4 linked regions of the Diceros bicornis minor genome follow. The protein of the gene in region 3 interacts with the protein of the main gene of each other region in a biochemical or structural test. Links are inferred from orthologs where the notes say so. Each region holds a gene or a part of one and is shown on either strand. Other genes may lie near its edges. The genes, in order: BIRC3, CRADD, RIPK1 and OTUD1.

What was found.
Region 1: of the proteins of RIPK1 (region 3) and BIRC3, one has a biochemical effect on the other in vitro, tested with the Homo sapiens proteins (5 studies listed by BioGRID, with this or other methods). The link is inferred for Diceros bicornis minor from reciprocal best matches to the Homo sapiens genes RIPK1 and BIRC3.
Region 2: the proteins of RIPK1 (region 3) and CRADD form a complex in vitro, tested with the Homo sapiens proteins (2 studies listed by BioGRID). The link is inferred for Diceros bicornis minor from reciprocal best matches to the Homo sapiens genes RIPK1 and CRADD.
Region 4: of the proteins of RIPK1 (region 3) and OTUD1, one has a biochemical effect on the other in vitro, tested with the Homo sapiens proteins (2 studies listed by BioGRID). The link is inferred for Diceros bicornis minor from reciprocal best matches to the Homo sapiens genes RIPK1 and OTUD1.

The regions. Positions count from the first base shown.
Region 1 is NC_080746.1:32,654,437-32,661,946, forward strand, and holds the start of BIRC3 (baculoviral IAP repeat-containing protein 3), read right to left. Parts: upstream 3,170-7,510; 5' UTR 2,448-3,169; intron 2,161-2,447; 5' UTR 2,086-2,160; exon of another isoform or gene 2,051-2,085; intron 1,593-2,050; exon of another isoform or gene 1,482-1,592; intron 1-1,481. UniProt on the Homo sapiens protein: Multi-functional protein which regulates not only caspases and apoptosis, but also modulates inflammatory signaling and immunity, mitogenic kinase signaling and cell proliferation, as well as cell invasion and metastasis.
Region 2 is NC_080764.1:28,286,939-28,294,801, forward strand, and holds the start of CRADD (death domain-containing protein CRADD), read right to left. Parts: upstream 3,204-7,863; 5' UTR 3,113-3,203; intron 1,865-3,112; 5' UTR 1,859-1,864; coding exon 1,561-1,858; intron 1-1,560. UniProt on the Homo sapiens protein: Adapter protein that associates with PIDD1 and the caspase CASP2 to form the PIDDosome, a complex that activates CASP2 and triggers apoptosis.
Region 3 is NC_080753.1:63,207,936-63,215,166, reverse strand, and holds the start of RIPK1 (receptor-interacting serine/threonine-protein kinase 1), read left to right. Parts: upstream 1-4,173; 5' UTR 4,174-4,289; intron 4,290-4,299; exon of another isoform or gene 4,300-4,478; intron 4,479-7,231. UniProt on the Homo sapiens protein: Serine-threonine kinase which is a key regulator of TNF-mediated apoptosis, necroptosis and inflammatory pathways.
Region 4 is NC_080775.1:22,910,100-22,917,822, forward strand, and holds OTUD1 (OTU domain-containing protein 1), read left to right. Parts: upstream 1-4,598; 5' UTR 4,599-4,965; coding exon 4,966-6,408; 3' UTR 6,409-7,661; downstream 7,662-7,723. UniProt on the Homo sapiens protein: Deubiquitinating enzyme that specifically hydrolyzes 'Lys-63'-linked polyubiquitin to monoubiquitin.

The sequences.
Region 1 (7,510 bases), on a different chromosome or scaffold from region 3:
CCCACTGCCCTATGCAACTCTTCTAAACCTTCAATCCTTTCCTCAAATTTCTCCTCCACTACTCCCCATCTCGCTTTCAGTAGATTGCTTGGCCTTCTATTTCTCAAAGAAAAGAGACATCACTGAGCAGTAATCCTTTCACATTCTCAAATCCATGCTTATTTCACTCACAACCTACTTGCTGCCTCAGTTAAAGACACCTGCCCCTTTGCAGGATCCCATCCTCTCTCATCGCCTCTGAAATTTTGTTCTTAAGCCCATCCCCCTCACTTCTTCAACTCTTGCTCTCTACTGGCTCTTTTCCTCCAATATAATGAGCATGCTTAAGTCTGTCTCAGCTTTCAAATGAAAACAAACAAAAAAATCCTCTTTGGCCCCACTTTCCACTGGAGCAACTACCCTGTGTCTCACTTTCTCTTCACAGCCAAGAGAACTAACAAGTGTCTATGGTTAAGGTCTCCCACTACAATTAGCTTTAGCCAGCACCACTTAAAACTACTCTCGATATTAATAACAACAATCTCTTCTTTCCCAAAACCAATGGAAATTTTTGCATCTGACACTGGGGCCCATTTCCTCTTAGAAATGTTCTACTGGCTTGGCTTCTGTGATACCACCCTCTTGGAATTCCTCTTTCCTTTTTAGTGGTTCCCTCTCAGATTGGCTCAAGTCCCCAACCTCTTCTCCTCTTACACTTTCATTTCCGTTGGGCAACCTCCCTTATCCCAGGGTTGTTGTGTGTCTCTACCTTCTTGGGCACTTAGCATATCCATGTCTCTGAGACTGGGGGGTAAGTGTGCCTTTTCTTTCTTCCTCCCCCTAGACTGTGAGCTCCTTCAGAGCAGAACTATGTTTCAGCTCTGTTCCAGCCCTCCCACCCCCAACATCCATCCAGCCTGCCATATAATACAGACACTAAGACTTTTGGTTGAAGAAGTGAACGTTGGCAAACTTGACTGAGCCCCTCCATGACCATAACACTCTCATTTGCATGGTATTAAGGACCTCAATTTCATGTTAACTACAAAGTCTGCTCACTGACGGCTTAATGGAGTCAGACACCTTGGGTTTCCAATACTATTCAGTCTTCCCATACCAGGGGTGTGGCCTTGCTTGGGCAAGTAACTCTCCCTAAGCCTGAGTTTCCTCACTGTCAATGGAGATAATTATGGTAACTGCTTAAGACGGTGAGAATTAAACCTGAAAAACACATGTAAAGTGTTCGACAGGGGTCCTAGCATACTGGTAGGTATTAGCAACACCTACTGTTAGCAATAAATAATAGCAAACAAATTTAACATTATTGTTAGTTACTCTAGCATCGGGCAAATGCCTCTAGCACTTTGCTAACTAGATTAAGAGCACTACAGGGTTTCCATGCTGATCACCAGAGAAACAACCAACAATCTGCTTTCTGCCACCTCTTGGAAACAAACATTCCTTCATTTGTTCACTAAATAAAGATTTTACTGAGTCCTTACCATGCCTAAGCTCTGCTTCAGGCTCTGTCCTGTAGCTTATTTGGCACCCTCAAAGACCAGGTGATACCTCTTGGCAATCGAATTAAACCAATTGTCAAAGCTCTCCCATTCCACTTTCCCATCTCCTATTCCAGTTTCTTTTAAAAGTAAAATGGAAACTGAACACCGGCAGGAAGGCGGACGGAAGGTGAGGGCAGCGCGGGGCGGGGGGCACCCTCCCTCGCCCCGGGCCCCTGCCCTGCGCCCAGCGCCTCCCGGCGGCGGGAGAGCAAAGTCTCGGCGGCGGCGGTGGCGGGGACCGGCCGGAAGAGCGCCGGGAGGGGAGAGGCCCCCGGGCTCGCGGGGGACCCATTCTTTTGCCTGTCCCTGATCGGCTCGAGAGCCAATCTGGGGCCGACCTCGGGGCCCCGGAGCGGCGTTTGGATACGGTGCCACCCCGCTGACGGTCCTCCGCCGCGGGCCCCGCCCGCCCCTCCACAAGGAGCAGCGGACGCGTCCCCTACCCGCGCGGGAGGCGGGGAGCGCTTCACGCACACAGACACACGCGACACACTCACACGCACACTTACTCGCTCACAGCCTCGCAGCAGCCCTCGTCACCAACCTGCTGCCCCGAGGCCGATGCGCGCCAGCAAGGACGTCCTGGCCGAGTCTTCTCGGGTGACACCCGTCACCCCGCCTGTTCGGGAGGGCTAGAATGTCACGCTGCCTTTTGAATGTCTCACCCAGCTCGACCCACCCACCTCCCCACCCCCACCTCCATACACCCGGAGTCCTGTACTCCTCCCAGTGGTTTGCATGTGCGCTGGTGCTTTCCTCTTAGGACTTAGGGGAACTCCAGCGGTAATAACCACATACACTTCCCCTTAATCAATGGCCTGGCAAACCCACTCGGGGATTTCCATGACCCTAAAAGAGTGACTATTTCTTAACCGTGGCGTATCCTCGTGGCATTTACTGAAAGACCTTTGCTTCATTGTTCGTGGGTCAGAGGAAATCTTGATAAGCCGTGTAGAGACGATGATCACTGGTCTGCCTGACCGGAAAAGATCCATCTCCCATGTGATAAAAAGAAAAGACAAGACCAAAACTTTGTGACATCTCTCTGATAATTTTTACTTTCTGTTCTAAACAAGAAAGTAAGGCAGGAATGGAAATGTAGGGGTATGTAAAAAAATCACACATTTTCCTTTTCAGTTTATTTTTACTGTTTTAAAGATTGAGATTACCTTATTAGCTTCCTATATTGAAAGTTGGGGGGGGGCGGTGCGCTTTTTATAACTAAGGTAGAGCTGGCTGTAAAAACAATTCCTCCTTTTAGCCTTTTATCTCACAGGAGGGATCTCTAAGTTATGGTGATATTCTCATGGAAACCTGAAGTCTGAGTCTCACTGCACTGCCATGTTTTCCTCAACATTCTGTAAGCGATGAATTTGAGCAGCTTTATTTCAGGACAGTGCACGCCAGGGTAACGGATTGAGACAGCTCAGGTGATTTTCCTGTCTTCCAGTATATCAAAGGTGATCGGGAACCAAAGGCAGAACCCATAATATTATTCACGAATTCCTCATCCTGTGGAAAAAGGAAGGACGCCCGTTCTATTCAGTACAGTCAGGATGAGCTGGGGTATCTTCTAGGTGGATTTGGCTGCTCACAGCAGTTAGAGTTCCAGCTGGAATTATATCAAGAAGATTATCTATCATGTGGAGATTTCAATCCAATTTTGAACCTGCTAGTTCAAAATTTTATAAACCATTTCCCACTCACCTTTGAGATGATGGAAACCACTTTGTGGTCCTTATACACTTTTGATCAGGTACCTACCAAAAGAATTTTGAAAAATTCGACTTCTCTGCACTTTTTACCTTAACATTAAAACACAAACGCTGTGGTTGCAAAGGAACTACAAAATGTAGACATAGATATTTTAGATTAAAATTGATCTTGCACTGTTTTAAATTATTTCAATGAACTACAAATACCATAGCCATCTGATACCCATGATCATCCATTAAACAATTCATACATCAGCTCATCTTTAATAATTGGAAATATTATATCATTGCCGTTTGTCCTTGAATATTCTACTTCCCCCACAGAATTTTAATATATGTTTAAAATGGACATCTTTATGATCACTCTGGCACATATTTCTGAAACAAATATGTGTATAAATTGAAATTTAATTTTTTTCCTGTGATCATAAGACTCTAAATGTTAAAGAAAAATTTTTCCTTGATTGAATTATCATTGATACTACTTTCATTACTTATTACATGATTGGCCAAAACAATATAAATATGTTATAAATGTTGATAACTACTAAAGATAAAAAGTAAAATTCTATTACAAATGCAATCTTAATGGGAGTTGCACCTTATATTTGAACAGTTTTTTCAAGTATGTGTTCATGAATATTACCTATTACTGGAATATGGTAGGGTTCAGCATAGATTCTGTTCCTTTTTTTCGTTTCTTAAAATTATAAGCACTGAAAAACCTTTTTCACATAAATAAGTAGATAGGCCCAGAAGAAATGTTATTATATCAATTTTTTCACAATTTTTTGAACTTCTGTTTTATAGTCCAAAAACTCATTTACTGATCTTTAATCCAAAAATTTAATTAGTTATCAGTAGACAACTCAATTTGTTGAAATCAGTGACTTGGAAACCACAGGACTTTTGTTACCCAGATAAGGTTGCCAGAATTAGCAAATTAAAATACAGGACACCTAGTTAAATTTAAATTTAAGATAAACAACAGGTAATTTTTTAGTATAAGTATGTCCCTCTCAATAGAGTATTCACTGAATACATTATTCATTGATTATCCGCAATTCAAATTTAACTGGATGTCCTATATTTTATATGGCAACTCTATATCCAGATATTAGAGTCATTCATTTTCTCAACACTAACGCCAATTACTTCTAATTGTCCAGGAAGATTTTACACCCAGGGGCAATACACCATTTTAAAACACAAGATGGGTGAGAGGTGAGCCTGTCTTTTTTAAGAAGAGAGAACAACTGTGAAGAGGTTGGTGAGAAGACAGAACAGGCCTAGCAACCACAACAGCTCTTGTTTTTAGGCAGATCAGTTTTAGGAGCAACTATATGTAGAAATCGAGGATCAGGTGGTTAATTCCCTTAAAACTATTTGCGTTCCCACTTGCCCATTACTAAATCTTTGTAAAGACTTGGTAAGTTCACTCAAAGGAACACATCCCAATTTAAAGACCATGGCCTAGGAAATCCTGAACTGACTAGAACTCCCAAGTTCTTCAAACTAGTAAAGAGAGTTGGGATCAGACCTATGAGGGCCTGGAGTGGATCAATATGTCTCCTTTGCAACATTCTGTAACACAATTATTGATTTTTTTTAAGTAATTTTTTTCCTGTAACAATTCTAAGTTGCATATGAGCAAGGACTGTATATATTTTGTTCACTGCATTATTCTAGTACTAGCAGGGTACCTGCAAATGTAGGCGCTTAATAAATCTTTGTAGATGACTGACAAAAATGGAGTCAATCTATCCACTTCGGCCTTTTCTATTCTAAATCTGCACCCAAATTTTTGATAGTGTAATATACTTTACATTTTCCCTCTGATCCTTTGAATATCCCAAATATTTTATATAAAAACTCCCCTTTTGCTCCCAGCATCCAGCTTATCTAAATATATTTTCTCTCCAAATACTCTTTTACAGGCAGAAGTAAAAGAAATGTTTGAGAAAGTGACAAGGTAGACAGACACATGGCCATCACTATCTCTAGTTTGCCAGTTTTTCTCTCTGTTAATGTGTAAGCAGGGTGTGAGAAGTGTGTGAGATGCTTTTTCATCCCACTCCTGGTTTGGAACTTTGAGAACTCTTAACAGTGGTGTGTTCTCAATATCCTATTATTAAACAATCAACTTTAAAGTATTTTTTAACTTGAAGGTAATCATGATAAAAAATATTCTTTCTCTGGAAGGAATTTCACATAATAATAATGCTGTAACAACTTCAGTTCCAGCCTGATGCTATTTCACTGTAAGTTTTTACATTTTTAATTACAGAAATACATTATCTAGGAATCTAGGACTGAAAGTAAAAGTGAAATCTAACAAAAGAACCATGCTGTTCTGATCCCAAAATAAATGTAAGAATCATTGTCAATGCTAGGAATTTCCTAGTCTGTTGACAACTGCATATCTTACAGATAAAATATGATTAGATCAGCCTTGAACAAGTGCTGATGAATTTACAAAAAAATATCTTTTAGTACAGATGGACTCAATGTTCTCAATGTGGTGAAGTTTGCCCTTATAAATGGTTGGTTACTTTTGATTTCTTTGTTTGACAGTACTTTAATGACATATAATTTACACAGTCTAAACTGCAAATATCTTAAGTGTACAGCTCATGAATTTTAACAAATGTATATACTTGGGTGACCATCAACCAGAGCAAGATCAAGAACATTTTCCATCACACCAGGAAATTTCTTCACGCCTTTTTCCTGTCAGTATCTACCTATATCCCCCATCCTCCAGCCTCAACCACTATTCTGATTTCTATCCCCATAGATTTGGTTCTTGAACTTCATATAAATGAATCACACGATGTGTACCCATAAGGGGCTCTTTCACTCAATATAGTTTTAGTTTTATCCACATTGTAGCATGTATGAGTAGTTCGTTCTTTTTATTGCCAAGTGGTATTCCACTGGATGAATATACCATAGTTTATCTGTTCTCCTGCTGATGGACATTTGGGTTGTTTCCTGGTTTGGTCCCTTGTGAATAGTGAAGCTATGAACATTTCAGTTCAAGCCTTTTTGTGAATCTATGGGTTCATTTCTATTGCGTAAACACCTGGACATGGAATTGCCATTGGGTAGGTGTATGTTTATTTTTATTAGAAACTGCCAAAAACTTTTACAAAGTATTCGCACCATTTTACACTCCCACCGGCAATATATAAGAATTCTAGTTGCTGAACATCCTTCCTAAGACTTAGTATTGTCAACTATTTGAATTTGACCTCTTCTTTTGAATGTGTAGTGCTAGCTCATTATGCTTTTAATTTTTATTTCCCTGGTGATTAATCATGTTGAATATATTTTCATATGCTTTTTAATTATTTAGATATCATCTTTTGTGAAGGACCTTTTCAAATCTTCTGTCCATTTTTAAATTGAATCAATTGACATTTTATTATTGATTTAAGGGCGTTCTTTACATATTCTGGATATGAGTCCTTTGTTATGTGCATTGTGAATACTTTCTCCAAATTGGTGGCCTGCTTTTTGTCTTTATTAACAGTTTCTTTTAATGAATAGAATATTTTAATTCTGATGAAGTCTAATGTAACAATTTTTTTCTTTTATGTATAGTGCATTTTATATCCCATTTAAGAAATCTTTACCTACCCCAAGATCATAAAGATTTTCTTCTATGTTTTCTTTTAGAAGTTTTGTGATACTAGCTTTTACACTTAGGACTATGATTCATCTCAAATTAATGTTTGCATATGATGTGAGTTGAGGACCAAGGTTCATTTTTTTCTCTAAATATTATTCCAACACAATTTATTGAAAAGAATCCCCTCCCCACTTAAGTGCTTTAGTGTCTTTGTCAAAAATCAATTGAACTTATACACGGCAGTTTCTTTCTGGACTCTCTATTCTGTTCTATTAATCTATTTGTCTATCCTTATGCCAGTACCATACTGTGTTTATCACTGTATCTTTACAGTAAGCATTGATATCAGATAGCGTAAGTCCTCTATCTTTGTTCTTTGAAACTGTTTTGGCTATTCTAAGTTTTTTAAATTTTCATATAACTTTTAGAATTGTCTTCTGAATATCTTGTTAAAAGTTGCTGGGAATTTGATTAGCATTACATTTAGTCTATAGATCAATTTGAAAAGTATTAACATTTTAATGTTATTGAGTCTTCTAATCCGTGAGCATGGTATATTCCTCCATCTATTTGTCTTCTTTGTTTTCAGTACAAAGATGTTTCTCATCCTTTTGTTAAGT
Region 2 (7,863 bases), on a different chromosome or scaffold from region 3:
TCTATGAACAACATACAACAGTACTATTTACATCACTCAAAACGATTATAAAATGACATTAAATATTTTGGTAGAAACAGCCTTTTAGTTTGCCTGTTCTGTTGTTTCCAACTGTGTGTTGCCAAGAGGAACCTCTAAGTCAAATACCAGCAAAAGACACTGGGCACCCTAACATTTCTCTTAACATCTCCCCAATTCAATGTTATTTATTCTGCTTTCAATAAACTGGTAGAAGTGTCTTAGATACTTTAGTTTGGCTTTATTCACACACCTGGAGTATTTAATTTTGTAAAGACAATCCAACCCAAGAATTCCTGTGGTCCTCAAAGGCCAGCTATTTTCAGTATTTCAAAAAAGCCTAAAACCTACATTTACCTATAATTTGGCCACAAGGGGAAATGAAAATATTTTTTCTTTTTCCACTGGGACTTTACTAGGCCTTCCTAAGTTAACTGGTTATCTTATGCTGATCAGATATTCAGACATATGTCATTAATAAAAATAGAAGAATTAATCAGGATTACTTAACACAGGTGGTCTGGAAAATCAATCAGAATATGAGGTCCATGCGGCAAAAATAATAAAGGTGGTCTTTTATTACTGGTATTTGTTTTTTAACCAGTTATATTGGTATTTAAAAAACAGCAACAGCAAAGTCGGGAGACCACTGACTTGGAGTAGTTTATCAAACTACTAGTTTGATAGTAGTGATAGTAGTTTGCTATCAAAAACTCCAGAGAATGTTGATTTCCTAAATCTGTTAAACACGCAAGTCAACTTTCAATTTTTTTTTCACCAATTCAGTTCTCTGCTCCTTAATCTTTGTAAAAAGGAAAAGTCATGGGAGGAGTTAAGAGGGAACAAGTGTTTCATATCATACCTTCTTCCTGTTACAAGCCAGGCTAACAGCACCAGAACTCTCTTTTCCATAGCTTCCAATTTTCCTTAAAATCAAAATGAGCCCCTCCTCAAACTACTGTCCTTACAAAACTAAATACTCCGGGTGTCTGAAGAAAGCCAAACTAACAAGGATGACTTGAAACCAATAACCTTTAAAAGCAAACTAAGTCAGCCTTCCAAATTATCCCCTCTAGCCATGGAGGGCAGCCCAGGGAACAGGTGTAAGGTGTGCCTTCCTAAAGGCTGTCTCCTCCTCTATGAACCTGACCTCTTCTTGCCGGCAGCTCTGGCACCCCATGAACCAGTTATCAGTAGGCCTAATGCCTGCTTTCCCATCTGCACTTTCCAATGGTCCTGATGCCAACGACCTGGCTCTTGGATGAGAACATGCCTCCCAAGTGACTTGCCAAGTTTCCCTGGAAGCATTTCTAAATGTATTCTCTGAGCTCCCTCCTGAACCTCTCAATCATGCTTCATCCTTCCTTCCTTCCCTGCACTTCCTAATTCCACCTCCTCATCCCGTCCCTCCAATGCCACGTGCCTTCAGTCCAAACTCCTTATTCACTTTCAGGAACCGCCATCCCCCTCCCAGCCTAAAACCCCAACTTCAAATCCAAAGGACACAGTTCCATCAATTCTGGAGCTCGTCTGAAGGCCTACCTGCAGGCAGCTCAGTTAGGGCTTCTTCTCTTGCCTTCTCCAGCTTCTCCCTCACCCAGGGAAATTCCTGCAGGGAATCTAGGAACGCATCAAATGCTTTAGGACCTCTGGAAGGTAGGATATCCAGCAGCAGCATTGTTTTCCGGAGGCCTGTGGCTTGAGCTTTGATTTCTTGAACGTGGTTTTCCGTCAAGACCCCTTCCTGGTAAAGATACTGAAGAACCAGGCCCTCCACCAGTACCTCTGCACCCAGCTCCAGGCGATGGGAGCGCAGCACTTGCTTGTCTCTAGCCTCCATTTCCTCCTGGGAAAAGACAAAATCCACAGCTCAGATTACAGGAATGCTGTTGAGCCCCTACAGATGGGGTCCTGCAATGTATGCTCCTTAAGGTCATGGATATCTTTGAATCTTACCAGAGTGCCAGGCCACGGTGTTTCATACACGGCTCTTGAGCCAAGCCAAATTAATTTCAAATGTTTCTAAACATAATGAACAACACTGAACATGAATTATCTTTTCTGTTTTTGCTTTCCACATAATGGGTCCTAGCTCAATTCCTTGTTCAATAAAGAGATCTGGAAAAACGTGAGGTCAGAGACCCTGCTTATAAAACAACTTGTATCTGAGGATTACAGAGCAGCATTTCATCTTAACACACTTGAGAAGAAACAGTGCTTTTATTTTAACATTGCCTTCATCAGAGATACCCCACCACCACAGAAACTGCCAGTACGCATACAGGTGCCCTTTGGACCACGGGCATTTTTAGAACCTGATCAGCAATGGGAGTGGGGCCAGAAACCTGCAGGTACCAAGAAGTTTAAGGATCATCTCCCCCATGAGAAAAGGCCTATACACCATCACGAAAAACATTTACTAGTGTTTGTGCCCAGTCTACAATAAACCTTATACATAGTCACAGACTCCATCCCTTCCCTCTAAGAATTCAGAATCTCCATCACAACACTGCCGTGGCCACACACATATGGGTCACTGAATGGGATTTTTTTTCTTAAAAAAAAAAAAAAAGTCCACAGGCCAGTCCCGGTCAGTGGCCAGCAGGACTGCCCGGCATATTTCCAAGACCACTGCACCAGGGAGCTGAGGGGCGGGGGTGTGGTGGCTATGAGGGTAAATAAGGGGAGGCGCGCCCCCCGCCCCTGTCCCTCCTAGCACCCTCTGCGAAGTCCGGGAGGTGGCAGGGGAGGAGGAGGATGCGCACTTCGGACTGCTAGCGCCCATGTGGAATTTCTCTTTATTCCCTGCCTCGCCAGCTGAAGCCCTCTTGTATTACGAAGAGAAAGAACTAGGAGAGATTTTCCGGGCAACCTGACTCGCTAAAAAGGGGGTGCTGGGAATGATCTTCAGAGCGGACCGAGGGCAGAGTGGATCCCCGGCACCCCCACCGCCACCCCACCCCGGGCCGGCTCTAGAACGCCGCCAGCAAGTTAGGGGGGGCGGGGGAGCCAAGCAGGGCCCAGGCTGCAGACGCCACGGCGCGGGACCTTGAAGAAAAGATGGATACGGGGTTTCTGGATTCCTGTTACTTACGTCTGCAAACACGTATCTTAGGGGAAAAAAAAAAAAAACTGCAACCGGAATCCAGACTGTTAGGGAACCTGTACCATAAGCGCCATCTTTGTTGAAGGCGAAAGCCCTGAACAGGAAGTATCGTCGCCATCTTTGTTGAGGGCAAACACAGGAAGTGCTGTAGCCATCTTTATTGGGGGCCCAAGTGTCAGACTGAAGCCCTTTCCGCCATGTTTGCTGTGGGTAAGCGATATAGCTGCCTGGAGATGGAAAATAGTTGCATCACTTAGGGGGTTATCTAAGCAAAGGAGTGATTGGATGATTGCTTTTTAACACAGTAACTCTACCAGTACCTTGCACACAATTGGCATAATAGATAGTCAGGTTTCAAAAGTCACCTTAATCAGCGAAGCCTTCCATGACCCCTCTATTTAAAATTGCAACACACTCGCATTCATTTCCTGCAGTCTCCTTCCCCTTTTCCAGCTTTATTTTTGTCTGTAGTATGTATCGCCATCTTACTAAAACTTTTGCTTAATCATTTATTTATCATCTGTTTCCCTTCACTAAAATGCAAGGTCATTTCTTTATATCACAGTGTGCCTGCCGGTAAATAGTTTACAAGTCAATCAGTCAGGATTCAGTTGCAGCCATCAGCTAGCTGCTCTAGACAGAAAGGGATTTGCCATAGGAAATTGGGGACATTCACAGTCATTGGAAAGGCTGGAAAAGGTCTGGGCATCCAAGGATGACTCCCTAAACAGCACTGCCAAACTGGCTCCTGGCCATAATCAGGAAGTTGGAGTCAGGAAGCCACCACTCCACAGTCCCAACCTTTTCTCGACACTGACAGAGCAAGTGACTGGACATTGGAATGCTCCTGCAGAAAAAACAAGGTCTCCACAGCTGTATTTGCCAGCAGCATCAAAACAGCATCTGCAGGGCCGGCCCTGTGGCTTAGCGGTTAAGTGTGTGCGCGCTGCTACTGGCAGCCCGGGGTTCTGATCCCCGGCGCGCACCGACACACCGCTTCTCCCCCCCGTGCTGAGGCCTCGTCCCACATACAGCAACTAGAAGGATGTGCAACTATGACATACCGCTGTCTACTGGGGCTTTGGGGAAAAAATAAAAGGAGGAGGTTTGGCAATAGATGTTAGCTCAGAGCCGGTCTTCCTCAGCGAAAAGAGGAGGATTAGCACGGATGTTAGCTCAGGGCTGATCTTCCTCACAAAAAAAAAAAAAACAAAAAAACAAAAAAAACCAGCATCTGCAAATCTTACTCTGATGCATGCAATTGGTGAAACCTAATTCACATGCAGAACATCAGCAGCGAGGGTGTGTGAGGCATGTAGTTTGGAGTTTTCCAGCTTCTGAAGCACAGAAAGACATGCTAAAAAGAGAGAGGGTCTAATACTGGGGGCCGATCTGCTGAGTTCACCACATTTTTAATTTGGAAGGCAAGACAAGTGCAAGATCCAAATATAGAGAGATAAAATAATGTCAAATTGAGGGTCCTTCCTCACATTTCTTTATGAAATGAGGCAATCAACAAATATTCATTGATTCACTTTTAAATCAATTGGGTGATATATACAGAAAGTCATTCACCTGCTAAAAGTTAGTTGACAGTAATAGACAAAACCCTCAAATATCGTTATTTCTATAGAGGTTTTCACAACCAACACCTCTAGTGGTGTTGATGTTTCATCATCAACAGTGATGAAACTAGTGAAGATGAAAATATCTTTGTAAGCAAATCAATGGAGAGCAATTCTAGACCTCCCTCCTCAAAACCTTCGAATTTTTGTAAACAGTTTAAAGTGTTACTATGCCAATATACCATTTTACTATACCAGCAGTGACAATATTTTTATATGGATGGCAAGTATTATTATTATGATTAGCATTTTACATATGTGAAGACTGAATCAAAGTGGGCAAGTGTCTTAGCCAAAATCTGACAGCTAATACATAGCAAAACCTGAATTCTAACCAGTTTCCTCTGATTTCATGCGCTTTCGAGTACACAGTACACCACACAGCCCTGTACGGTAAGAGTCTCTTGTTCTTATGACAGCCAAAATATCTGCAAATCATTCTGGTGCCACCTCTTACTCTTGGTACTTTTGAATTCCAGGTACTCTCTTCACTCTCTCCCTCTTCTTTTGTTTTGGAATTGCTGTCCTCTCCTGGGCGAGATTGCCCTCCTGTATGTAAACAAGTGTTAGCAACATTCTCTGTCTTCCTCCAGATAAAATGCAGACCTCTTGTGATACTACCCATAGCTGAGGTTACAGACTTTTAGGGGAGGAAAAACAAGTGTATTTTTTCCAACTGTAAACTTTGATAATTCTTAAACATATAGTAAAGTTGAAACAAGTAGCACAGAAAATAGCCAGCCATGTAAAACTACCTAATTTAAAACATCAACATTCTTGATGACTCGCTGTATTTAGAAAGGCTTGAGATCTCCTGGAAAATAGAAGAAGACATTGATGATGTCCAGGAGGAGGTAGAGAGCCAACAGTGTGTTCCATGACAGTTCACAGAAGAGAAGACAAGAGAGTGAGAGACAGCATGAGAAGAGTTAGTGCAGGAGCTGAGAGGCATGGAGTTCTAATGGTGAACAACCTGAGAGGTTGGCTATTAAGGATCTGACTTAAATCTACGGGTGAAGTTCTTGACCATGAAATTCTTCTTCCTATGGCAAATTTAGATGCACATCCATGCTGCCTCCTAAGCAACCATGCTGGGTTTCTGATTGACTAGCCAGCTGCCATCAGTCAGCTTGCTGGAGGACCACCACCCCGGGCTAGCATACAATGACACATCTGAGCAGCACACCAAAGATTCAGCCTCACTTATATAAATATCTAAGGCCAGCAAGCCCCGAGAGAATCAAAGACAGATCAGAATCACTATCACAGATGGTCACGCCTCCACTCTGTCCAGTCCCTCTCTGTGGGCTGGAATTGTGCCCCCACGGAGGATTAAGCACCTGTTACCCAGTGGTAACAAATCCATTTTTAGGAAGGACAGATATTTTCCTTTTTCTCTCTCCCCACCATATTTACTTGTGTCAAGATATACCCATTGTGAGTCTGCAAAAGAAAGAGTCAAAAAGAACAAGCATAGGGGCCAGCCCAGTGGTATAGTGGTTAAGTTAGCATGCTCTGCTTTGGACCCCCAGGGTTTGCAGGTTTGGATCCTGGGCGCAGGCCTATGCACTGCTTATCAAGCCATGCTGTGGCAGGCCTCCCACATATAAAGTAGAGGAAGATGGGCACGGGTGTTAGCCCAGGGCCAATCTTCCTCAGTAAAAAAAAAGAGGAGAATTGGCCACAGATGTTAGCTCGGGGCTAATCTTCCTCACCAAAAAAAAAAAAGAGAGAGAGAGAACAAATGTAGTGTTTTTCTGTCTTTCAGTTTGGTCTTTGGTTTTACAACCTTCAAAACAAAAATCAAAGGAGTTGGATATTTTTGGTTCTTCCTGTTTTACAGATGTGGAAATTAAGCCATGGAGAAAAACAGATTCTTTTCAAGCACACTTGAAACTGTTACAGAAATAGGTCATGAATCGAGTCTCAAAGAAACTTCAATAAATTCCAAAAAATCAATAGCACACAAACTATGTATCCTACCATTTTACAATAAAGTTAGAAATTTTAACAAAAGGATAGCTTCCATAAATCCCATACGTTTGGAAACTAGGTGCAACAAATCTTAAACTCTTGAGTTAAAAAAAAAGTCACATATTTCTATTGGCACAGCCACATGGAAAACAGTATGGAGATTCCTCAAGAACTTAAAAAAAGAACTATCATAAGATCCAGCAATCGCACTTCTGGGTATATATCCAACGGAAATGAAATCAGTACCTCGAAGACATATCTGTACTCCCATGTTCCTTGCAGCATTATACACAACAACCAAGTTATGGAATCAACCAAAGTGTACATCGACAGATGAATGGATAAAGAAAATGTGATATATATAAAATTCAGCCTTAGAAAAGAAGGAAATCACACCTATTAGAAGGGCTAAAATCCAGAACTCCGACAACACCAAATGCTGAACAGGATGTTGAGCAAAAGGAACCCTCATTCATTGCTGGTAGGAATGCAAAATGGTACATCCACTTTTGGAAGACAGTTTGGCAATTTCTTACAAAAATAAATATACTCTTATATGATCCAGCAATTGTGATTCTTGGTATTTACCCAAAAGAGTTGAAAATGTATGTCCACACAAAAACCTGTACATGGATGTTTATAGCAGCTTTATTCATAATTGCCAAATCTTGGAAGCAACCAAGATGTCCTTCAGTAGGCGAATATTATAAATATCTACCACAGAATATAAATATGTACCACAGAAAATAAATATACTGTGGTACATTCAGACAATGGAATATTATTCAGCCCTAAAAAGAAATAAGCTATCAAGCATGAAAAGATATGGAGGAAGCCTAAATGCACATTAGTAAGTGAAAGAAGCCAATCTGAAATGGCTATGTACTATTTGATCCCAACTATATGACGTTCTAGAAAAGACAAAATTATGGAGACAGTAAAAAGACCAGTGGTTGCCAGGGGGTTGGGTGGGGGGGGGGGATGAATAGGGAGGGCACAGAGGATTTTTAATGCAGTTAAAATACTCTGTACAATGCCATAATGAAGGATACATGTCACTATACATTTGTCCAAACCCGTAGAACATACAACACCAAGAGTGAACCCTAAGGTAAACTATGGACTTTGGATGATTATGAC
Region 3 (7,231 bases):
CTTATCTCTGAGATTTTGCTCCTCAAGTTCCAAACTCCTCAACCAGTGAGACGGCTACTTTCTGCTCGGGTCTATTATCCTTTGTGTGGAATGAGAAATGCCCTCAGAGAAAAGCTGTGGTGAATGAACAAGAAGCCACTTCATATTGTTTCCTCTGCTCAAGGACGGAAGCCTCTTGAGTCCTCCCTGTGTTAGTTTCTCTCCAGTGCCTTCAAACAGTCATTTTATATATTTTGCCCATGTTCCATTATTATTTTCAATGGAAAGATTCATTCTGTATGTTCTTCAAGACCAGGATAGGAAGTCCTCTGCTCATACTTTAGGATTCAACCCAAGTGTGACTTCCTTTGTGAAGTCTTTCCTGTTTCTCTTCCTCTCAAGTAGAATCTTTGCTGGTTGCCATAGCACGTGGCACATACCTCCATCATAACCCTTATTAAATAACATTTCTATTTTTATGGAATGATTGCTTCTCCAATGGGCTGTAAAGTATCTTGGAATAAATATGGGGTCTTAACATATTCTTTATTCTACTTCTCCCTCCAGCTACTACCCTATTAATCTGAATTACTTTTTCTGAAAAATTCCTTTAAAGACCTAACTATACTCACAGTCTCTCATTTTCCTCCCCATCTCCTTCAGCTTTTTCTTGAACCTACTCCAAACAGCCAGCCCTCGTGGTCTAGTGGTTAAGATTCGGCACTCTCATCGCCATGGCCAGGTTTGTTTCTTGCTCAGGGAACCACACCACCCACTGTCGGTTGTCATACTGTGGTGACTGCATGTTGCTGTGATGCTGAAAGCTATGCCACCAATATTTCAAATACCAGCAGGGTGACCCATGGTGGACAGGTTTCCACAGAGCTTCCAGATTAGACAGACTAGGAAGAAGGACCTAGCCACCCAGTTCCAAAAAAATTGGCCATGAAAACCCCTGAATAGCAGCGGAGTGTTATCTGATAGACTGCGGGAAGGTGAGAGGATGGCACAAAAAGACCAGACAGGGTTCTGCTCTGCTGTACACAGTGTTTCTAGGAGTCGGAATAACAGCATAACAACAAACTCCAAACACGCTTTTGTTCCCACTATACCACTAAAACTTACATTGTCATGGTCATTGACAATTTCCATGTTACCAAATCCAATGGTGAATTCCCAGTCCACATCTTACTTGACATATTTGCAGCATTTGGCACACCTGATCACCCTCTTAAGGCTCCCCTCCACCCTGACCTGGTTTCCCCATTTCCCTGGTGGCTCCTCTTCATCTCACCACCTTCTAAACACTGGAGGATCATTCCTCAGACCTCTTTTCCTTTCTGTCTTCATTACCTCCCTTGATGATCTTGACTTATAGCATATCATTCACATGTTGATGACTTCCTAATTTGTATTTCTAACGTGGACCTCTTCCTTGAACTCTAGACTCATATACCCACTTACCTACTTGACATCTCCAACTGGATGTTTAATAGACATCTTAAATTAACATGTTCAAACAGAGCTCCTGATATTTCCACGAACCTGCTGTTCTCACTATTCTTTCTCATCTCAGTATAGAGCAACTTCATCCTGCAAGTTATGCTCAGGACAAAAACCTTCCAGTTATCTCATTTCTCACGCCTTGTTTCTGATCTCTAAACTAATCCTGTCACTTCCACCTTCATATTTCATCCAGAATCTGACTTCTTGCTGCCTCCATTGCCATCACTCTTGTCCAAGCCATCCTCTTCCTGTCTGCATGATTGTAATAACCTCCAAACTTATCTTCCTCTTTGCTCTTGTTCCTTTCAGCACATTGTCAACTCAGCAGCCAGTTGATCCTATTGTAATTTAGAGCATGCTTCTCTTCTGCACAAACCCTCCAACGACTCCCCAATTCATTCAGAGTGAAAGGCAAACTTCCTAAAAGGCCTCACATAATCTCCCTAGCCCCCTGCCTTACCTTTCCAACCTCATCCTCTATTACTACTATCTTGTTCCTTCCATAGCTACCTCATTGCTGTGCTCCCACCCGAGCCTTTGCCCTTGCTCTTCCCTCCCTGCTCAGTATGCTTGTTCCCAACATGCCCTCATGGCTCCCTCCCTCACTACCTTTAGTTGTTTACTCAAGCCTTCTCAGTGGTATCTTTCCTGGTCACTCCATCTAAAATTCTGATATGCTCCCCACACATACATGCACATCTCCTACCCAGCTTTGTGCTTTTACTCTCTCAGGGCTCACCACTAACCTACTAGTTCACGCATTTATTTTGTTGTTTTTGTTTTTTCCAGTATCCCCCCTAGAATGTAAGCTCCACAAAGGTAGAGCTTTTTGTCTGACTTATTCACAACTGAGTCTTTAGTGCCTAGAACAGGTGCTTTGTATATATCTATGAATCACTTGTATCTACCACCAGATACTCTTGTATCTAGCTCCTGCTTGGCATAGCCAGAAATGTTTGTTGAATGAATAAGTACCCCTTTCACTTTTTTTATGTGTGTATATCTTTTCTAAAAAATTAATAACTGTATTTTTTAGAACAGCTTTAGTTTCACAGCAAAACTGAGTGGAAAGAACAGAGTTCCCACATATTCTATCCCCCGCCCCCACACAAAGCCTCTCCCACCATCAACTACCTACACCAGTGTGGTATGTTTGTTACAATCAATGAACCAACACTGACACATTATTATCAACCAAAGGCCAGAGTTTACATTAGGTTTCACCCTTTGTGTTGTACACTTATGGGTTTTGACAAATATATAATGTATCCACCATTATAGTATCATACACAGTAGTTTCACTACCCTAAAAATTGCCTTTGCTCCGCCTATTCATCCATCGTCCTGCAAACCTGACAACTGCTGACTTTTTTTTTACTGTCTTCATAACTTTGCCTTCTCTACGATGTCATATCGTTGGAATCATACATTATATAGCTTTTTCAGATTGGCTTCTTTCACTTAGAAATAAGTCTTTAAGGTTCCTCCATGTCTTTTTGTGGCTTGATAGCTCATTTTTTAGTGCTGAATGATATTCCGTTGTATGGATGGATCACAGCGTTTTTGTCCATTTACCTACTGAAGGACATATTGGTTGCCTTCAAATTTTGGCAATTATGTATAAAGATGCTATAAACATTAATGTGCAGGATTCTGTATGGACATAAGCATTCAACTCATTTGGGTAAATACCAAGGCATGTGATTGCTGGATCCTATGGTAAGACCATTTTTAGCTTTTTAAGAAACCGCCAAACTTTCTTCCAAAGTGCTGCACCATTTTGCATTGACACCAACAATGAATGGGAATTCCTATTGTTCCACATCCTCACCAACATTTGGTGTTGTCTGTGTTTTGGACTTTAGCCATTCTAATAGGTATGTAGTGGTATCTCATTGTTTTTCAAATTTGCAATTCTCTAATGACCTACAAGGTTGAGCATCTTTTCCCATGCTTATTTGCCATCTGTATGATGACGTGTCTGTTCAGACCTTTTGCCCATTTTCTAATTGGGTTATTCCTTTTCTTATTGTTGAGTTTTAGGAGTTTGTAGTGTATTTGGGGTAACAGTCCTTTATCAGATACGTCTTTTGCAAACATTTACTCCCAGTTTGTGGCTTCTCATTCTCTTTACGTATAAATCTTTTTACAATATGTAATCATGCTGAGCATATAATTTGCTTTCTAACATAACACTATAGCAAGCATTTCCTATTTTGCCTGAGACTTCCCAATGGCCATTTTAAAGAGCTGCAAAATAAATATCACATTTCTTCCTCTACAGCCCCGCAGAGATGTTATTATCCCCACTTTGGAGGTGAAGAAAGGTAAAAGAACGGTAATTTGCCTGCAGCAGAGCTCAGATTCCCCTGGGTAATTCACCCAGCGTGTTCCGCTAGGCCAAGCTGCCTCTCCGCCGCGGAGGTTTCTGTGACTAGGTGACATTTCCTCTTTTCTTTCGGTCTCCCAACTCGCTTTAAAACAAAGTAAAGCCGCAACCCTTAGGCTGACAGATCACCGGGATTTTAAACGTGGGTACCAGGCCCCGCTGGCGAGGGGCGGGCGCTCGCCCGGTCCTCCTCCGGGGCAGGAGCAGGGGCAGGGGCGGAGCGAGCAATCCACGCCCTCCCGCCGGCCGAGCTCACTCACTCGAAGAGAAACGGCGCGGACAGCGGACCGGCTCCCGGACGCGGCGGTCCCTGCGGGCCCACACTCGCGGCGCCCGGGCGCGCTGTCCAGCGGGCGAGGGAGCGCGGGCCGCGGCTGGACGCGCGCCGGACGGCAGGCCCACGGAGCCGGGCGCGGTGAGCGGGGCGGGGCGGCCACTCTGCGGCCCGGTCTCCCCGAGCTCGCCGAGCTCCGCGCCCAGTGACCCCCTCGTCAGGCTCGGGCGTGCTGCCGCGGCGGAGTCCTGCCTGACTCCCCCGCCGCCGCTCTCCCCTCGCCCGGGCCTAGGGAAGTTGACCGCGGAAGCGAAAGTAAATCGCGCTCGGGTGCGTCTGCGCGCAGGCAGTGGCGGCGGCGCCCAGCTTCCGCGAGAGCGGCGTCCGGGCGGGCGGGACTTCCTGACCCGGCCCGCGGCGGCGGGAGGGCGACTGCGCTCCCGGCCGTCAGCCGGGGCGTGGGCCCGGTGGGTGGTGGGCGGGGCCCGGGGCGTTCCCGGAAGTCGGGCGGTGGGAAGGCCCCTGGCGTTTCCGGAAGTCGGGCGGTGGGAAGGCCAGTGGCGTTCCCGGAAGTCGGCCGGGAGACAGCTGACTGTCCGAGGCCCAGCCTGGTTTCGTCTTCGCGGAGGTTTAGGTGTAAATCCATAGAGGGGCGGAGACCTGCCCTCGCGCCCCGATAACGGTGTGACGTTGGGGCCTTGTTGTTATCGTTGTTGTTGTTTTGGTAGGGATGATGGGTTTTTATTGCAGTATCATTAAGATACAGTAGTGTATGCTCCTGCCGTAATAGGGTTAGGTGCATATCTCCGGCTGGGACTTCTTACCAACCCTCTGCAAAGGGCTTTTACTCCTGCACTTGGGGCCGCAGCGGGTTGCCAGTACAATCAAAAGCTTTTCCGCATAATCTTGGAAGTGAGTTGGCAGATGAGAAAGAAGGGTCGACAGCCAGAGCGACAAAGGGATGCCTGTCATAACTCTAGGAGCCCTCTTCAGTGGTCGGTGGCATTTGCTTTTGTGAAGTGCTGCAGATTCTCTTCAGGGTTGTGAAGAGGCTGAGCTACATTCTCCTCTCCTAAGCATTTGACAAAACCCCACAAGGAAATGGGGGGTGTTGTTCGTTTCTTTGTGTCTTGCTGATCATTTGGCTCTTCTTTGCTCAGAGCTCTTGTTTATTTTATACAGAGTCTGAGGCTATAATAATCAACCAACTTTGCAGAAGTCCTTTGGTCTTTAGACCACCTTTAATTCTTCCCTGATTTACACTGGAAGAAACCAAGGCACAGAGTGAACTTTGGGATGTAGAGTGATTTGATTTGCATTTTGTAACCACCAGGTAGATGCAAGAGTAAGGAGGAAATTGTGGTCAATTATAAATGTGGAAAACCACAGCTCATCTAAACACAAAGCAAAGATTAAACTTACTTAAAATTTGGGGTGTATCATCGTTATTATTACTGATAAAACAGCAATAACGTTTAACTATAATTTTCGTTTTCCTCTGCACTATATTGAGGACCAGAGATATGTTGTACTTTCAGGATTGTGAATGTTAATGAGAATTAATAAAAATTCCTAAAATATCAACTTCCAAAATTACAAACTATTATTTGGTGCTTATTAATCCATAACATGTTAATACCACCAATATGATCTGGGAGTTTGAAAATAGTGTCCCATGCTTTGGTCGGATATTATACTCTTGCAAAAATGATTGTGTACTAACCTGTAGAATATTCATTTTGAACCGTATGTTTTTAAAATTTAGTTTGTACATTCCCCATGTTTCTGAACGTAGCGTAACTCATTGAATGTAGGTGAGCAAGGCTGTAAGCTTAGGTCTTTGCATCTGATTTTAACAAAGACAGATTTATCATTTGCTATCTAGAGAAGTAGCAAGTGTTAGTGAATTAGTAGTGGAAGTTTGAGTGAAGAGGCGAAGGTTCAGTTCCAGGATCTGCCATTTTAGATGAATCATTTAACTCTAAATTTTAGTTTCTTTATTTGTAAATTGGAATGATGATGATAAAACTTCATGGGCTCATCATGTGCCAGTGTACATGATAATGCTTGGTTAAACTCTTTCAGTCTAGTCTGTTACTCATCATTTGGCTCTTGCTTGCTGAGACCTCTTGTTTATCTGGGGCAAAGCATCAAGCTGCAATAATCAGAGAACCTTAGAGAAGTCCATGTTGGATACCTGAGTAAAATCAGAATTCTATTAGCAGGTAAGAAGGGGGGTAATGAAAGTAGGCAACCAACATTTTCTGTCAGACTCATTATATGTGGTCATCATTGAAAAATTGAAAAAACAGTCCTCTACCACTGAAAGGTAACTATGAATATTTTTTTAAAAACTTTTTTATTGAAGTATGACATGTACAGAAAAGTGCACAAATCATAACTGTATAGCTCTATGAAGTATCACAAAGTGAACGTTACTCAGGTCAAGAAATAGAACATTGCCATCACTCCTGAAACCTCCTGTCCTTCACTGCCTCCTGTCTCCCACGTAACTAACTGCTGTCCTGACTGTTAGTAGCATAAATTAATTCTGTCTGGCTTTTTGGTATTAATTATTATTTATTTATATTTTTCACCAGTTTTATTGATGTATAATTGACAAACAAAATTGATATAAATATTTTGATATATAGACTTATCCTGCCTTAGAAAGTAATTTGTTTGTGAAATTTCTTGGAATTTTCAGTTAATTTTAGTGGAAAAAAATTTGCTTCTCTGAGTCCCTGAATTAATATCCATTTATGCAAAACATTAAGAAATCCCATTAAAATGGACACAATTACATTATTAGCTGAAATTAGGTATCATAACATGATATAATAGGCCAGTGTGTTTCGTTAATTACTCTGTAATATGGCTTTATGATGTGGTTTTCTACCTGCCTACGCTTTTTTTTTAGTGACTCTTGGGTATCTAAACCACTCATAAGGCCTTCCTAAGATATTCAGTGCTTGCGAAGTTGAATTTTTCATGGGGGAAAGGGGAGGGCAAACAGTAAAAACAAAAAGAATCATGGAAACCATGCATAAGATTAAATAAGATCAGGGGCCAGTTAAGTTAGG
Region 4 (7,723 bases), on a different chromosome or scaffold from region 3:
CCACATACAGCAACTAGAAGGATGTGCAACTATGACATACAACTATCTACTGGGGCTTTGGGGGAAAAAATAAATAAATAAAATTATAAAAAAAATTATTTGTCCATTTTAAAAATTGACTTATTTGTGTTTTTATTGTTAATTATAAGACTTTTTATATATTCTGGATACAAGTCTCTCATCAGATATATGATTTGTAAATATAGTCTCTCATTCTTTAGTTTGTTTTTTCACTTTCTTTATGGTGTCCTTTGAAGGACAAAGTTTCTAGTTTTGATGAAGTCCAGTTTATCTATTTTTTCTTTTATTTGTGCTTTCATATCTAAGAAACTATTGCCTATTCCATGGGAACTGAGATTTCCGCCTCTAATTTCTTCTAAGGATTTAATAGTTTTAGCTCTTATATTTGATCCATTTTGAATTAATTTTTGTCTATGTTGTGAGGTAGAGGTCTGGCTTCCTTCTTGTGTATGCAGATATCCAGTTTTCTCAGCACCATTGTTGAAAAGACTATTCTTTCTCCCCTTGAATTGTCTTGGCACCCTGTCAGAGTCAATTGCCTCTAAACATATGGATTTATTTCTGGACTCACAATTCTATTCCATTGATCTACATGTTTATCTTTGTCCCAGTACCACATGGTGTTGATGACTGTAGCTTTGTAGTAAGTTTTGAAATCAGGAAGCGTTAAGTCCTCCAACTTGGTTCTTTTTCAAGATTGTTTTTCATATTAGGTTTATAAAGAAATGATTATTTAATAAATGAATAAATGGATGAATGTTTACATTTTTTTAAAAGACCATGTATTGGTTTTTTCATTACAGAGATAACACATATGTATGCAAAACATCCAAGCAATACAGAAAATTATAAAAAGAAAATTAAAAACACCGCAATTCCTACCACCCAGCTGGGTAAGATGTTGGATAATGTCTGTCTAGACACGTCTCTATGAATACGACAAGGATGGACAATTGCTACACTTCATTGAGCACCAGACACAGTGCTGTGCACTTCTCACACATCTGCCATCCAGTTCCCACATGGCCCATGGGAAGGAGGGGATGGTTTTTTAATGGATAAAGAAACTAGAAATAGAGGAACTGAATAATTTGTCCAGGGTGAACTACCATGTGACAGGCAGGAACCCAACTCAGGCTTCTCTCACTCCAGAGCTCAGATTCTTATTCACCTCCTGATACTGGCTACATAGGTAGGCACATGCACACCCCACAGACACACACACAGATCTCACACATACACCCCACAGACACTCACAGAAGTCATACACACTCTGCAGACACCCCCCCACAGATGCACACATCCTGCAGACATATACAGAACTCACATGCAAATACACCACACACACACAATTCACACACCTCCACAGACACACACACACAGGACTCACCTGCACATTCCACAAACACACACACAGCACAGACATACCACAGACACACACAGAAGTCACACACATGCTGCAGACACAGAATTTATACAAACATTGAAGACACACATACAGAACTCACACATATGCACCACAGGCACACACACATATCTTACACACATGCATACACTGTAGACAATCTCAGAAAACTCACACACATACACCACAGATATACACACAGGATTCATACATACATTGCAGACATGCACACCACACAGACACACACCCACATCCACATGTAGTCATGTACATACATAGAGGCATAGACCACACATATACACACAGGCTCTTCTGAAACTGTTTTTTTTTTTTTTAACGTTTACATTTTTAAAAGTTTTATTTTGGGGGGAGGAGAAGAGATTGGGACTTTTATTATCTTTAAAGGAATCTAGCTAAGAGATGGTGGTATGTAGATGTATGTACCTTCAAAAAACATGCCAGGATTGGTCCTGTTTTATAAAGATGCCTTTGGTGGCCAGGTTTCTGCTGCCTGGGCTGCAGGACAGAAACCATTTCTGAATTCTCTGTAATTGGCGCCATGCTGGTAGCAAAACTGGTGCTCAATAAATATTCATTGATTAAATGCCTTGTTCTTTTTGTTTTGTTCTAACCTATTGATTGTCTTTTTGTTACCTTTTGGTTGATAGTTGCTGAAATTTCCTGTTTTTCTCACCTATTCAATAACTATGTAATTTTGGTTTAGAATCCTATTTTCCTAAACTTCTGCCAATTTTCTGCATAGCACCAAAATATGCCGGGTATATGTGCCGGGCGGATGATATTCCAGAAGAGAATCATGAGGAATTCTTTTCAGGAGTATCAAGGAACTGGATTTGCCTCTCCCTCTTTCCCTCTCTTTACTATCACTTGCAAGGCCCTGCCTTCTCTTATAGACTCCAAGGGCAAAAAACAACTCCCATTTCCAAGGCTGACAATCATTTCTGCTTCGAGTTGCCGGAAGTACCATTTCCTCCAAGATTCTCCAGACTGAGATGCAGAGGAGACCCTGATTCTCACAGTGAATATGCAGTCTTATATAGTCCACCACTCCCACACAAACTGAAAGGGAAAAAAAGAGCCTTCACTTATGTTAAAGTTTTGAATCTTCACATCTTTGTTGATATTTGCTCCTAAATTTGGTACATCAGACCTAGCCTGTCCTCTATGTACCTAGCATTAACTTTTTTCCCTGTGTTTACCCCACTCTGTTAAAATGCATTCTCGTTCAGGATTTAAATTTTAATAGGTTCCCTGTAGTCCTCCAGGCTCCTGTTATGCTAGCTTTGCTAGGCACACAGTGGGTACTCAGTGAATATTATCTGAGGATTATTATTATTTTTTTTTGTGAGGAAGACCAGCCCTGAGCTAACATCCATGCTAATCCTTCTCTCTTTGCTGAGGAAGACCGGCTCTGAGCTAACATCTATTGCCAATCCTCCTCCTTTTTTTTTCCCCCCAAAGCCCCAGTAGATAGTTGTATGTCATAGTTGCACATCCTTCTAGTTGCTGTATGTGGGACGCCGCCTCAGCATGGCCAGAGAAGCAGTGCATTGGTGCCCACCGGGGATCCGAACCCTGGGCCGCCAGTAGTGGAGCGCGTGCACTTAACCGCTAAACCACGGGGCAGCCCCTGAGGATTATTTTATTGTTAATTGTCTTGTCTTCTGTTTCAGAACACCAGCTACCGAAAGGCTACAGGCAGAGTTCAGTGCATTTAATACGCAGAGCAACAGATACCCCCAAATCAGTGATGAAATCTAAGTAATTCCCTTTTTCTAGTTAGCCAATGGCGGCTACAAGCTCCCAATAGGGTGTCACCAGAAGCTGAAAAGACGGTGAGCCATAAACTTAGTTGTCTTACCCCCTCCTGTGCTGACATACCTTACAGGTTGGAGTGGCCCATGTAAACGGCTGCCGCTGGGATCCTGCCAGTAGTAACCCCCATGGCAAATACAAGCCCTGGCTAGGGTCAGGAGACGGATCATAATTCTGGCTTCTCCACTAAATGAGAATACTTGGGAACTCGTTTTCCATTAATTAATTCGTTCAGCAAATATTAATTCATTCCAACTATGCGCCAGGAACTGTGCTAAGGACATAACTGTGATAGCCAACAGGCCGAGGTCTTTCCATTGCTGGAATCTGCATTCCAGCGGAAGGGTCGGGGGAGGCATATACCATAACCTATGGCTATTTCCCCACCTCTAAAACGGTGGAGTAGGCTTTAGGTTCAATTTAGATAGTTAGGGCCTGCTAATTTAGCATCTGATCAAAGCTTCGAGTATAGCACAAGCGGGCCGCTACCAGTCAGCACGCCGTTGCTCGTGCGAATATTGCAGCTTTCCTTTACACAGCGGGTACTACTAACACAGCTCGGCAGAACTGTTGTCAACATGCTACCCCGCCCCAGAACGCAAACCCGACTCGCTGCTCTGCCTCTGACCTGTGGTTAGCAGCCACACCTATTTTCAAAAGGTTGGAGGCGGTATGGTATTTGGTATTCCGAAAGGCTGTTTGAAAAATTTCCTTTGGCCCAAATCATGTATTTGCTAGTCGACATGGGTTAGGGGTGCAGGAAAGTTGGTTTCAGTTTAGCAGGGCAGCAAGGTGCTGGGGAGGATAGGTGGCGTCAGGCGACCTTAACATTTTGACGTGGAACTGAATCAAAAAGACGGCACTGGTGAAGAGAAGCAGGAGCAGTGGCTCCCGACTAGGCAGAGGCCGTGCAGGTTTCAAGGCAGCGCTCCGTCCGCCACACCGAGCCTGGAAGCTTCTTTCCAAACGCACGCTTTCAAAGCATTCTAGCCGGCCCTAGGCAGCGCCCACCCCGCCACTATCCGCAGCAGAGCGCACGGCTGCGCGGCGCCCAAACCTGCAGCAGGGCTGCAGGAAGCGGCCAGAAATCCCGTCACTGCGCATGCCCCAGGGCCATCGCGCTCTCCCGCAGGTGCCCCGCCCGCCGCCAGCGCCGCGGGCCACGCCCATGACGTCCGCCGGCCGGGGCGGGGCCTGGGCCTGGGGGCGGGGCGAGGCGCGCGCTTGAATGGGGCGCCGCGACGAGCCGCACATTCCAGCGGGCCCACGTGACGCTGCCGCGCGGCCTGAGGTAAACAACCGCGGCCCCGCCTCCGCGCCCCTCCGCGCGCCCTGCTCTGCTCCTCGCCGGCGGGACGCGCTCCAGCGGGGCGGGCGGCTTCCTCCGAGAGTCCCCAGCGGCCGGCGCGGGCCGGAGCAGCGGCAGCGGGCGCGGCGCCCCGGGTCTGCGGGCCGAGCGCGCCGGCCGGGGTCGAGCGCGCGGCCCCTCCCCGCCCTCCCCCCGCGCGCTGTGGCGCAGCAGGAATTTGGCGGGGACCCGGGCGCTATTTGCGGCTCTTGACGCGCCGGCGGCCCTCCGGTCGTTTCTATTCTCGGGGCACTGGGTCACTGCGCTCGGCCGGCCCCCTCCCCCGGGCCCGGAGGGTGTGTCCCCCGCAGCGGGGCTCGCCGCGCCTATAAGGGGCCGAGCGGCGGGCAGGGACATGCAGCTCTACAGCAGCGTCTGCACCCACTACCCAGCCGGGGCCCCGGGGCCCACGGCCGCAGCCGCCGCGCCGCCCGCCGCCGCCGCCAGCGCCCCCTTCAAGGTCTCTCTGCAGCCGCCCGGCCCCGCCAGCGGCGCCCCGGAGCCGGAGACCGGTGAGTGCCAGCCCGCCGCGGCCGCCGAGCCGCGGGAAGCCGCCGCCGCGCCCGCCGCCAAGATGCCCGCTTTCTCCTCCTGCTTCGAGATGGTGGCCGGGGCCGCCGCCCCCGCCTCGGCCGCCGCCGGCCCGCCCGGCGGGGCCTGCAAGCCGCCGCGGCCGCCGCACTACACGTCCACGGCGCAGATCACCGTGCGGGCGCTGGGCGCCGACCGGCTCCTGCTGCACGGGCCCGAGCCCGGCGCCGCCGCGCCCGCCGCGCCCCGCGGCCGCTGCCTCCTGCTGGCCCCGGCGCCCGGCGCCCCGGTCCCGCCGCGCCGCGGCTCCTCGGCCTGGCTCCTGGAGGAGCTGCTGCGGCCCGACGGCCCCGAGCCCGCGGGCCTGGACGCGGCCCGGGAGGGGCCCGACAGAAACTTCCGACTGAGCGAGCATCGCCAGGCCCTGGCCGCCGCCAAGCACCGCGGCCCCGCGCCGCCACCGGGGAGCCCGGAGCCCGGCCCCGGCTCGTGGGCCGAGGAGCGCCCGGCCGAGAGGAGCTGCCGGGGCTGGGAGCGGGCCGGCGAGCGCGGCGACCCCCCCGGCGCGGACGAGGCCCGGCGGCCCGACCCCGAGGCCGAGGCGCCCCCGGCCCGGAGCGTGGAGGCCGCCCCGAGCGGCGCGGCCGAGGCGGTGGTCGTGGCCAGGTCGGATCCCAGAGACGAGAAACTGGCCCTGTACCTGGCGGAGGTGGAGAGGCAGGACAAGTACCTGCGCCAGCGGAACAAGTACCGCTTTCACATCATCCCCGACGGCAACTGCCTCTACCGAGCGGTCAGCAAGACGGTGTACGGGGACCAGAGCCTGCACCGCGAGCTGCGGGAGCAGACGGTGCACTACATCGCCGACCACCTCGACCACTTCAGCCCCCTGATTGAGGGCGACGTGGGCGAGTTCATCATCGCTGCTGCTCAGGACGGGGCCTGGGCCGGGTACCCGGAATTGCTGGCCATGGGGCAGATGCTGAATGTGAATATCCACTTAACGACTGGAGGGAGGTTGGAGAGCCCCACGGTGTCGACCATGATTCACTATTTGGGCCCGGAGGATTCCCTAAGGCCTAGTATTTGGCTGAGTTGGCTCAGTAATGGACATTATGATGCGGTGTTCGATCACTCCTTTCCCAATCCAGAGTACGACAGTTGGTGCAAGCAGACTCAAGTGCAAAGAAAACGCGATGAAGAACTTGCGAAGTCCATGGCCATATCCCTATCCAAAATGTATATCGAACAAAATGCATGCTCGTGAAGTGTCTGAAAACCTACACCCTGGGAGAATTGCATACGTAATTTGTGTTTGGAGAATTATATGAACTCGAATCAGGGTAATAGCACTTTTAAACTTCCTAGTAGATTTACTGTAGGTGTGATGCCTTAATCGTTTTTTTGAATGTTTTCTCAGAGCTGAAGGTTGCTGGGCACCTAAATGAGGTTTCATGATAGCTTTGGGTGATCTTATTGCTATTTATAATTTGCTGTATAAAGTTGGCACTACATAAGTTGCAAGCTGATTTCTCATAGTGTAAATTTGTTCATTCCTGGTAATCTATTTTCTATAAAAATGTATTTTTGCACAACATTTTTAAAAATTGGTGTACCTTCACCTATGATGTGTTCCATTTTGACAAACAGCTTTCCGGCATAAATCCAGAGAAGTGCTTTATATGAAGTTTATTATTTTGAACAGAGTTTGTGAATTTAGTAGTTATTTTATGTTGTTGAATTTGAATTTTGCAGTTCTTAGGTAATTATTTCAAATGGATATTGATGCATTCGTGTTACCAGATGATAGGCCCATTCCATTTTGATGAAACAAACAGATTTGTTTTGGAAATCATTATTTTTCTAGAAATGGTCAACGTTTTAAAGAGAAATACTTAAGGGAAGGTTGTGGGAAGAGTTCTTTTTTTTCTTTAAGGGATAGTACCAGCTCTTACTTGAATGAAAGTCTGATATTTGCTGACAGCAGAGTGATTATTCTGTACTCTGGTTGATGTTTAGAGTAGATTGTCTGGTGCTTTGAATTGTTTTTATTTATATTTGTCATTTTGTTATAAATGAATTTTAACATGGTCGAAGACTTTGTGACAAGATAAGCCGCCTGCTTTATATAGCATCTTGGATTCAACTAAGAGATTTAAAAATTAATAGCGTAAATGCCTGGAACCAACCTTGGCAGTTATTTTATAGCAGGAGAATACTGTCTTAATATTTTGTTCCTTTTAAATTCTTTCAGAAGGCAAAGTAGGATTGCCCTGTATTATGTACAAATAAAAATGTCTGTAAACAGAGCTTGTATGGTTTGCTGGGTCAAACAGTGTTCCCAATTGAAAATATCTCATTTCCACTTTAACTACTTTTAGTCATATTTATTAAGTAATGCAGTTTGTACTTTTTTATTTTGTAACATTTTGTGATTTTTTTTGTACAATATTGTATTTGTACAATAGAGCAATTCTCAGCTGATGGAATGAATGAATAAAATGCATAATTTTACTTTTACGTCTTTTTGGCTGAAGTGGTTTTTAAAATATAAAGTGACGTCTGTAGGAACGTTTCTTACA